2 linked regions of the Sus scrofa genome follow. The protein of the gene in region 1 interacts with the protein of each later gene in a pairwise test. Links are inferred from orthologs where the notes say so. Each region holds a gene or a part of one and is shown on either strand. Other genes may lie near its edges. The genes, in order: ANKS1A and DOK3.

What was found.
Region 2: the proteins of ANKS1A (region 1) and DOK3 interact in a two-hybrid assay, tested with the Homo sapiens proteins (2 studies listed by BioGRID and IntAct). The link is inferred for Sus scrofa from reciprocal best matches to the Homo sapiens genes ANKS1A and DOK3.

What each region holds. Positions count from the first base shown.
Region 1 is NC_010449.5:30,983,737-30,987,537, forward strand, and holds part of ANKS1A (ankyrin repeat and SAM domain-containing protein 1A), read left to right. Parts: intron 1-1,156; coding exon 1,157-1,255; intron 1,256-1,973; coding exon 1,974-2,126; intron 2,127-2,203; coding exon 2,204-2,311; intron 2,312-3,152; coding exon 3,153-3,317; intron 3,318-3,801. UniProt on the Homo sapiens protein: Regulator of different signaling pathways. Regulates EPHA8 receptor tyrosine kinase signaling to control cell migration and neurite retraction.
Region 2 is NC_010444.4:80,439,181-80,443,781, forward strand, and holds the start of DOK3 (docking protein 3), read left to right. Parts: upstream 1-1,593; 5' UTR 1,594-1,691; coding exon 1,692-1,757; intron 1,758-2,676; coding exon 2,677-2,982; intron 2,983-4,601. UniProt on the Homo sapiens protein: DOK proteins are enzymatically inert adaptor or scaffolding proteins. They provide a docking platform for the assembly of multimolecular signaling complexes. DOK3 is a negative regulator of JNK signaling in B-cells through interaction with INPP5D/SHIP1.

The sequences.
Region 1 (3,801 bases):
CATGTGGCAGTTCCCGGGCCAGGGACCAAACCCGCCCCACATTAGCAACCGAAGCCGCTGCAGTGACAGTACTGATCCTTAACCCCCTGAGCCACTAGGGAGCTCCCCATACTGTTCCGACTACTGTAGCTTTTGTAGAATCATCTGAAGTCAGGGAGTGTGATATTGCCAGCTCTGTTCTTTCTGGAGAATTGGTTTGGCAGCAGTCTGTCTTGATAGCTGCCCTAGAAGAATACATATACAGGGGGATTCGTGCAGCATTCTTTGTAAAAGCAGACACTGGAAACAGTCATCCTTGAACAGGGACCTGGCTTAATCATTTACAGCACGTCCATAACTCAGATGGTTATGCAGCTTTAAAAGGAGAGAGGTCACACACTGATGCGCAACCTTCTGCTATACAGACTAAGTAAAATGAAGGTGTTGAAGTGTGTACTAGAATCATGTTTGTGTGAAAATGAAGTGTGCACATGTGTGTAGGTGCCCAGCCAGGTTCTGGCCAGGACATCCAGGGAAGTGGTAACAGGTGCCCTTGGTGGGGGGCACTGTGGCTGAGGGACAGGGCAGAACCCCTGACTTTGTGCATCACAATCCAGAAAACCCATCTCATGAGACCACTGTGAGTAATGAAAGACATCGCGCTAGGGCTTCGGAGTCAGATCTGTGTCAGTGTCTGACCCCCTGTGCCTCAGTCTCCTGATGTGTAATTCCGATGAACCCAACACACATGGATGTGGGCAGCAAGTGGGACAGTGCCCAGGAAAGGTCTCGAGACTGTCACGCAGCGAGTAGGCGGCAGACACCAGCCATCCTCACCATCACCGCCATGCTTGCTGCCCACGCGGGCTCAGCCCTGGCTCGCCCTCCACTCCTGGGCAGGTTCCTACTCTGAGACTCCACCTTGGAGCGAGGCAGGTTCCTGGGTGCCCGCCTAAGGAGGCTCTTACAGCCTTAATCACACAACCACGTCTGCGAGGAGTCTGGGGACTCGGCCTCCTGTCCTCCACTGTGGGTGGTCATGGAACCTGCTCCCCAGGAAGACACACCCAGCCCACCGGGGAACCTCTGGAGGAGGGGTGGCGGCCTGGGCGGATGAATGTCCTGCTTGCCCGGGTCCTCAGGCAGGAGGCCCTCACATTCTCCTTTCTGCTCCCAGGGGTCTAACGTGATGGAAGAGCAAGACCTGCGGGAAATTGGCATCACTGACCCCCAGCACCGGCGGAAGCTGCTGCAGGCTGCACGGTCCCTGCCCAAGGTAACCACCCATAGTTCTGCACCCACAGCCTTTGCTAGGGCCACCTCCCCAAGGCCCCCTGGGCCCAGAGCAGAGAAGGGGCATGGCTCTGGGCGTGCAGATCACCGTGGGGTGTCTCCCCCTCACCCTGGGGGCCCCAGTGGGGAGCACAGGGTCCTATTCACTTCTCTGCCAAGTCCTGAGGTCACAGAGAGCCAACAGAGTACTGGGGACAGTAAGGACCTCATCTGCCTCAGGAACCAGCTTCAGGCCTCTGCCCAGCACAGAGCCTGGTGCCCACAGGCTTGGCCTGTCACCTGCACCGAGCCCCAGCCAGGCCCTCCCTAGGAGGCCAGGGGCCCCCGGGGCAGCAGAGGAGGCCGTGGTTCCTGGGGGAGCTGTGGTTGGTGGCCCTGTGCCTCTGCTCAGCTCTGCTGCCCCGAGTGCCCCGTGCCTTCCTCTTGTCAGAGCTCAGTGAGGCCTCCTTCACACCCTCCCCCCGCCTGGCCTACCTGCTGGGGCGCCTTCCCAGCGTGGGGTGGAGGTGGAGGCGAGACCAGAGCCAAGAGAGGGAGGGAGAGAGGACTGTGTGAGGGGAAGGGCTCAGGGTGTTCAGGCCCCACACCTACCCCCGCCTCAGCCTCTGCTCTGGCCCCTGCAGGGTGCGTCTCCCTGGTCCCCAGGGTGCTTATCCCCTCAGGGAGAGTCGTCAGTCCTGCCTCTTCTCCTCACCCCACAGGTGAAGGCTCTGGGCTATGATGGGAGCAGCCCCCCCTCAGTGCCCTCCTGGCTGGACTCCCTGGGGCTGCAGGACTATGTCCACTCCTTCCTGGCCAGTGGCTACAGCTCCATCGACACTGTGAAGAACCTCTGGGAGCTCGAGCTTGTCAACGTGAGTACCGCTCACCCCGGCCCAGCCCACGGGGCTGGGGGCCCAGTGGCCCTAACCCCTCCCCTCCCCTTGCCCAGGTCCTCAAGGTCCACCTGCTTGGCCATCGCAAGCGGATCATCGCCTCCCTGGCAGACAGGCCCTATGAGGAGCCGCCCCAGAAGCCCCCACGGTTCTCCCAGCTGAGGGTGAGTCGGGCAGGTGGAAAGGGGTGTGTGTGCTTTGTGGTATTAGGAGCCTAGGAGCTTCTCCCAGGGCTTCTTCAGACAGCCATCCCGCCTCACTGTGTTGGGGCCAAGTCTGTCCTTCGGCCCAGGTTGAGAGAGGAACCGGGGCGCAGGGGCGGTGGGCAGAGGTGGTTATTGATCACATGCTTCCCATCAGCCTGGAGAAGCTCGAGATGGCCTGTAACAAAGTGTAAATATTAGCAAGTCAAATGTTGGGAAAAGCAGGAAAACAAATACCTGAATCCCAGACGGCTAGGGCCACGTCTGAGTGTCACATTCAGCTGTGCCCGGGACAGGGGGCAGGCGGAGCTGGGAGGAGACCCCCTTGGGCCAGAGACAAAGCCTGGAACACAGGACACCCCCCCCTCGACCCCACCCCAAGTCTTCTGAAGAGAAATCCTTGTGATTTTCAAAACCTCACAGATGCTTTGTTGCTCAAGCCAGGTCACCTCTGACTGAAAGGGGTTAGACGGGGAGCCCATGGTGCTGCCAGTGGGCAGGGATGTGCCTGGCCTCCAGGCCCTTAGAGCAGCCTCAGAGCAGACGTTACTGGCCCCGCTGGTTCTGAGACACAGACGTGGAAGCCAAAGAACCTGCTTCATACTCTGAGTCACTTTGGTAGCTGGAGAGCGCTTCCCAGGTCTCCAGTCGGCCCTCTTGGCTGAGGCCCAGGCCCCACGGGGTGTGCTCACCCTTCAGGACCCGGTGTCAGGGCTTCGGGCTGCAGAGGCCGCCGCATCTCCCCCAGGCTCCCCTGTGCGGCCCCCGCACTGACTGCCTCTCCCCGGCTCTCTCCCCGCAGTGCCAAGACCTGCTCTCGCAGACATCCTCGCCCCTGAGCCAGAACGACTCCTGCACCGTGAGGTCGGCTGACCTGCTGCTGCCCCCTGGGGACACAGGCAGGAGGCGGCATGACAGCCTCCACGAGCCTGCAGTGCCCGCTCGGGCGGAACGCTTCCGGATCCAGGTGGGCAAAGGTCCCCGGCTTCGTCTCAGCGGGAAGGGGCTCCCGGACACCCCCGCTGGCCCTGGGCCCCACACTGCTGCGCTGGCGTCAGGGCGGGGGACCCGGCCTCCTCCCCGCCCCCCACGGCCTGTGTCCCGGCAGCGGCTCCATGACCCCCTGCAGCTGTTGCTGCTGAGGCCTCCCCTGGGTCCCCACCTCAGAAGTGCAGCCCCACACCCTCTCCTCTTTGACCACAGCCGCTTCGCCCAGCCCCGCAGGCCACCAGCCTCTCCCCCTCTGGCCCCTTCCCAGCCTGGTCCCCAGCTGGACCTTCTCCCCCTCCTCAGCTCCCTCCTGCTGCCCCACAGCCCCCATATCTCCTGCCTGTCTTCTCTGCAGCCACAGCCCCTGCTGCTCGGGGCACTGCCTTCGGGCTCCCACCTCTTTTCAGCACTTCCCATCCTCCCTCCTGGCCTCATGCAGGCTTTGTCTCTCTCGTCCCCAT
Region 2 (4,601 bases), on another chromosome or scaffold:
GTGTCTCAAGCTCTTGGGGCTTTTCCCAGGGGCCTCTTGGGAGGCGACTTCCTGCCTCAGGCCCCTACCCATGCAGGCTTTCAGTAGGGAACCCTCTGCTCCATTTGCTGAGGGGGAAGCAGATGCCACAGGATTCAGGCCACAAGCACCCACTGACCCAGCTCTGTGCCCAGCTATGAGTGGGGCTCAGGACCCAGATGAGCCAAGCAGATGCCCTCTGAGAAGTTCACAGGTAAGGGGACAGACAGATCAGCCTTGAATGAACATGGACTGTGGTCATGAGACTGCTGGCATATGAGCCAGGATTTCAACATCTGGCAAGGGGTAGGCAGAGAAAAGCGCTGGCAGCAGCTCCTCTGTGCCTGGTACTTCATGTATGAGGCCACAGGGTTATCCCAGCAGGACAGCAGTTGCTCAAGCCTTGGGCAAGTTACTTAATGTTTCTGAGCCTTGATTTCCTCATCCTTGAACTGGCAGTGAGAATGCAAAGGACATGGTATCTGAGGCTGCTGGAGCTCGCGACTGCCTGGGCCACAGTGGGCACAAAGCCAGTGAACAGTGCCCTAGGAAAAGATTTCCTGCCTGAGAAACTACAAACCCCACATGTGCTACCCCCCCACCCCCCTGCAAAAGAAAACCAGTATTCTTCAACCTATTAGATGTTCCTTGGCAAAGGTGGCACTGAATGAATGCCATGAGGCTGTCCCCAGAATCCAGGTCCTCCCACAAGCCCCGGCCCCAGGCTCCCCCAGCAAGAAGCAAAACTTAAAAAGCGTGTGAGCTCTCTAGGGGGCCTGCTAGGGGTGTGCCACACACGCTCACGTGGCTGGGGCCCAGTCATGGGGACTGAGGCCTTTGTGCTCTCAGACAGCGTGGCAGTCAGGGGAGGGCTCCTGGAGGAAGAGACCCCAGTGTGCCAAGCAGCCCAGGGGTGAGAGGTGCCCTGGAGGGGCCAGGCTAGGGGAGGTGGAGACCAGAACACACAGCACCTTGAGTGCTGGGCCAAGGAATCCAAGCTAGACCCAAGGGCACTAGGAGCCAGAAAATGTTTAGGGAGGGGAAACACGAGTAGGTTTGGGGTTGGTGGAGAGGTCCGGGTGGGCCCAGGTGGGGCCATGGTTCAAAGGAGAAATGCCAAGGCTGGCAATGGGCAGGGGCTGTGAAAATGGGGAGGAGCAAGAGAGTATTAGAACCCTTTCCGGGATAAAGACAAGCAAACTAACCAGGACTCCAAGTGGGAAAGCACAGAGTTTGCCTGTCTGGCTAGAGAAAGGTCCTGGAGGGCACAGGGTGGTGGGAATGCCAGGCCCCTGTGTACGGAAGAGCTCCTGCATGGGGGAGGGGTCAGAGCTCATGACTCGAGAGCCAGCTTGTGGTCAGATGTTCACACCCAGCTGACCTGGGCTGGCACGGGTCATCTGCCCTCGGGGGGGGGGGTCTGAGGCCCCTGCCAGGCACTAGTGGGCACCTTGGGTCAGCTTGAACCCCAAGGAAGGAGTATGTGATGCCCTCTCCCCCCATCCTAGCTCCTTTACTGCAGGCAGGGCTCCCCTCCCCCCAGCCCTGCAGCTGCCTCTCTGGACAGAGGGAGGGGGAAGTGGCCAGAAGGGGAAGTATAAGGAGTTCCCCTCCGGCCTGTCACCAGTCTCCTCAGGCCCTCAGAGTGGCGGCCCTGAGTCCCGGCCACGGCCATGGAGCCTCTAGAGACCCCCATCAAGGATGGCATCCTCTACCAGCAGCAAGTCAAATTTGGCAAGGTGGGGACCCTGGCTGCCAGGCAGCTGCCTAGGACAGGTGGTGGGCTTCCGCCCCTGCCCACAGGGACCTGGGAGGGTGGGGGAGGGAGTCAGGCTCCGGGAGCCAAACCGGGTGTGGGGGAGTGGGACAGAGCCCGTTCCTGTCCTCAGCCCAGCGTGGGGCTGAGGGAGTGCTTTTGAGACCCTGCCTCATTACAGACGGGAGCGAGAGTGGGGAGGGTCTAAGAATACAACCTTTGGGGCAGGGCAGAACCCAGGGGCTGGCTAATCCAACAGCCTTCCATCCCAACTACTAGTGACACCGAGGCCCCCTCAGGAGGTCTGCGGGCTGAGCTGGAGGAGCTCCCCACCTCCAGGATAGAACCCCATCCTTCAGAAGAGGGCTCAGCTCCTCCCAGCCCTGTCCTGGGGTAGCAGGCACTGCACACCCTCAGCTCAGCTGCAGCTGCTGCCCAGGCAGATAAACCGTCTGTTTCCTTTGCTCGGTATTATTTGCATGTTTCCTTCCTTGCCATCATGAGACTGAGGCCTCCTGCCTGCCCCAGCCTTGTCCTGTGGTCCAACTGACCTTTTCTTTGTGGGGGCTGGGCATCAACATAACTGTCAGGTGCCATGCTCCAGCCACTAGATAACTTTATAGACATTACCCAGTACAAGTCCTAACCCTGTGTTCTCATGGCCTTTGGAGAGACGAGGACTCTAGTGCCTATGGGGATCACAGGAAAGCATGGGGTGGATTTGAACCCAGGATTGAATGACCCCAAACACAGACTCTTCCCCTTGCCAGGCTGGCTCCAGAAAGACACCTGCTGCCTGAGGAGGTGGGGGAGGCAGAGGCCAGTGTGGGTGGCCAGTTGGCTGAGCGGCTTGTGCTGGGCTGAGCTGCAGGGAGCCCCTTCCCCATCTTTGTCTCCCGCAGAAGTCTTGGCGGAAGATGTGGGGTCTGCTGTATGCGGGAGGCCCATCAGGCGTGGCACGGCTGGAGAGCTGGGAGTTTCGGGATGGTGGCCTGGGGCCAACAGGTGACAGGTCTGGGGGGCCCAGCCGGCGGGGGGAGAGGCGGGTCATCCGCCTGGCCGACTGTGTGTCCGTGCTGCCGGCTGATGGTGAGAGCTGTCCCCGGGACACCAGCGCCTTCCTGCTCACCACCACGGAGCGAAGCCACCTGCTGGCTGCACAGCACCGCCAGGAGTGGATGGACCCCATCTGCCAGCTGGCCTTCCCGGTGAGCACAAGGCAGGCGGGCAGGGACTCTGGGGGCTGGCCAGGGAGACCACCTCACCCGACCTGGTTCATCTCCGTGCTCACTCATATCCTGTCACTCAGCAAGCACCTGCCAAGCCCCTACAAGCCTGGGAAACAGCGCAAGCCCACATTACAAGTCTTAGATGACCACACGTGCTTTGGAGAAAATGAGAGGCTGGATGGAACCAGAAGTGACGGGGGACGTTAGACAGGATGGTCCAGGAAGGCTTCTCAAGGGAGGAGAGGGCACCTCAAGGACAAATAACCCCCCAGGCAAAGATCTGAAGACAGAGTGTCCTAGACCCAGGTCTGAGGGGTCTCCTAAACAGACGGAGCGGCATGGGCAAGGGCTCTTTGACAGGGAAAAGCCTGGTGTTCAAGAGGCAGAAGGGCAAGTGTGGCTGGAGGATAAAGGGGGCTGATGCCAGGAAGAGGCAACAGTGGAGAGTTTGGTGGGAGCCCAGCTGAAACTGCCTTGGGCCAGATGTAGAGTTTCTGGTTTTATTCCAAGGGAGTAGAGAAACCTTTGGGGAGTTGGACCCAGAGACTGAGCTTAACAGGGTCTGTGATGGACCAAAAGGAAATGAATGGCGGTTCCTCAAAAATTAAACAGAGTTACCATATGACCCAGCAATTCCACTCCTGGGCATTTATCCAGGAGAACTGAAACAGGTGTTCAAACAAAACTTGTACAGGAATCTTCAGAGCAGCATTATTCACACTAGCCCAAAGATGCAAACAACCCAAATGTCCATCAACTGATGAATGGATAAACCAAATGCGGTTTATCCATGCAACAGAACATCACTTGCCCATGAAAAGGAATGAAGCAGTGACACATGCCATGACATGGATGGACATCGAAAACATGCTAAATCAGAGAATCCAGACGCTAAAGTCTTCACATTGTATGATTCTATTTACATGAAATAGCCAGAACAGACAAATCCATAGCAATGGAATGCAGGTTAGTGGTTGCGGGGTGTTGGGGAGAGGGGAGAATGGAGAATGACAGCTAATAAGTACGGGGTTTCCATTTGTAGTGAAAAGGTTCTAAATTATACTCTTTCTTTTTAGGGCCCATGCCTGCGGCATGTGGAAGTTGCCCAGCCAGGGATTGAACCCATGCCACAGCAGTGACCATGCCAGGTCCTTTAGCTGCTGAGCCACCAGGGAACTCCCTGTACACTTTAAAGTGGTTAAAATGATAATTTTTGTGTTGTGTATTTTACCACAACTCTTTTTTTTTTTTTAAAGGACAAAGTTCCTTGGTAGTCTAGTGGTTAGAATTTAGTGCTTTCATTGCTTTAGCCCGACTTCAACCTTTGGTCTGGAAACTGAGATGCCACATTAAGTCGCTGCATGCTGTGGCCAGAAAAAAAAAAAGAAAGAAAAAAGGAAATAAGCAAGACAAGGAGACTGGTAGGGGGACTGCCTTTGCCTTTGACCCTGACCATAGCCCCATGATCAAGGTGGTCATGATGGAAATGCTCAAGGTCAGAGCCCAAAGGATGCCAGAGGAGATGGGGAAAGAGGCCTGGGGAGGAACATGTAGCCATTCACTCATGGGTCCCAATCTTAAACTCCCACGCCTTTACT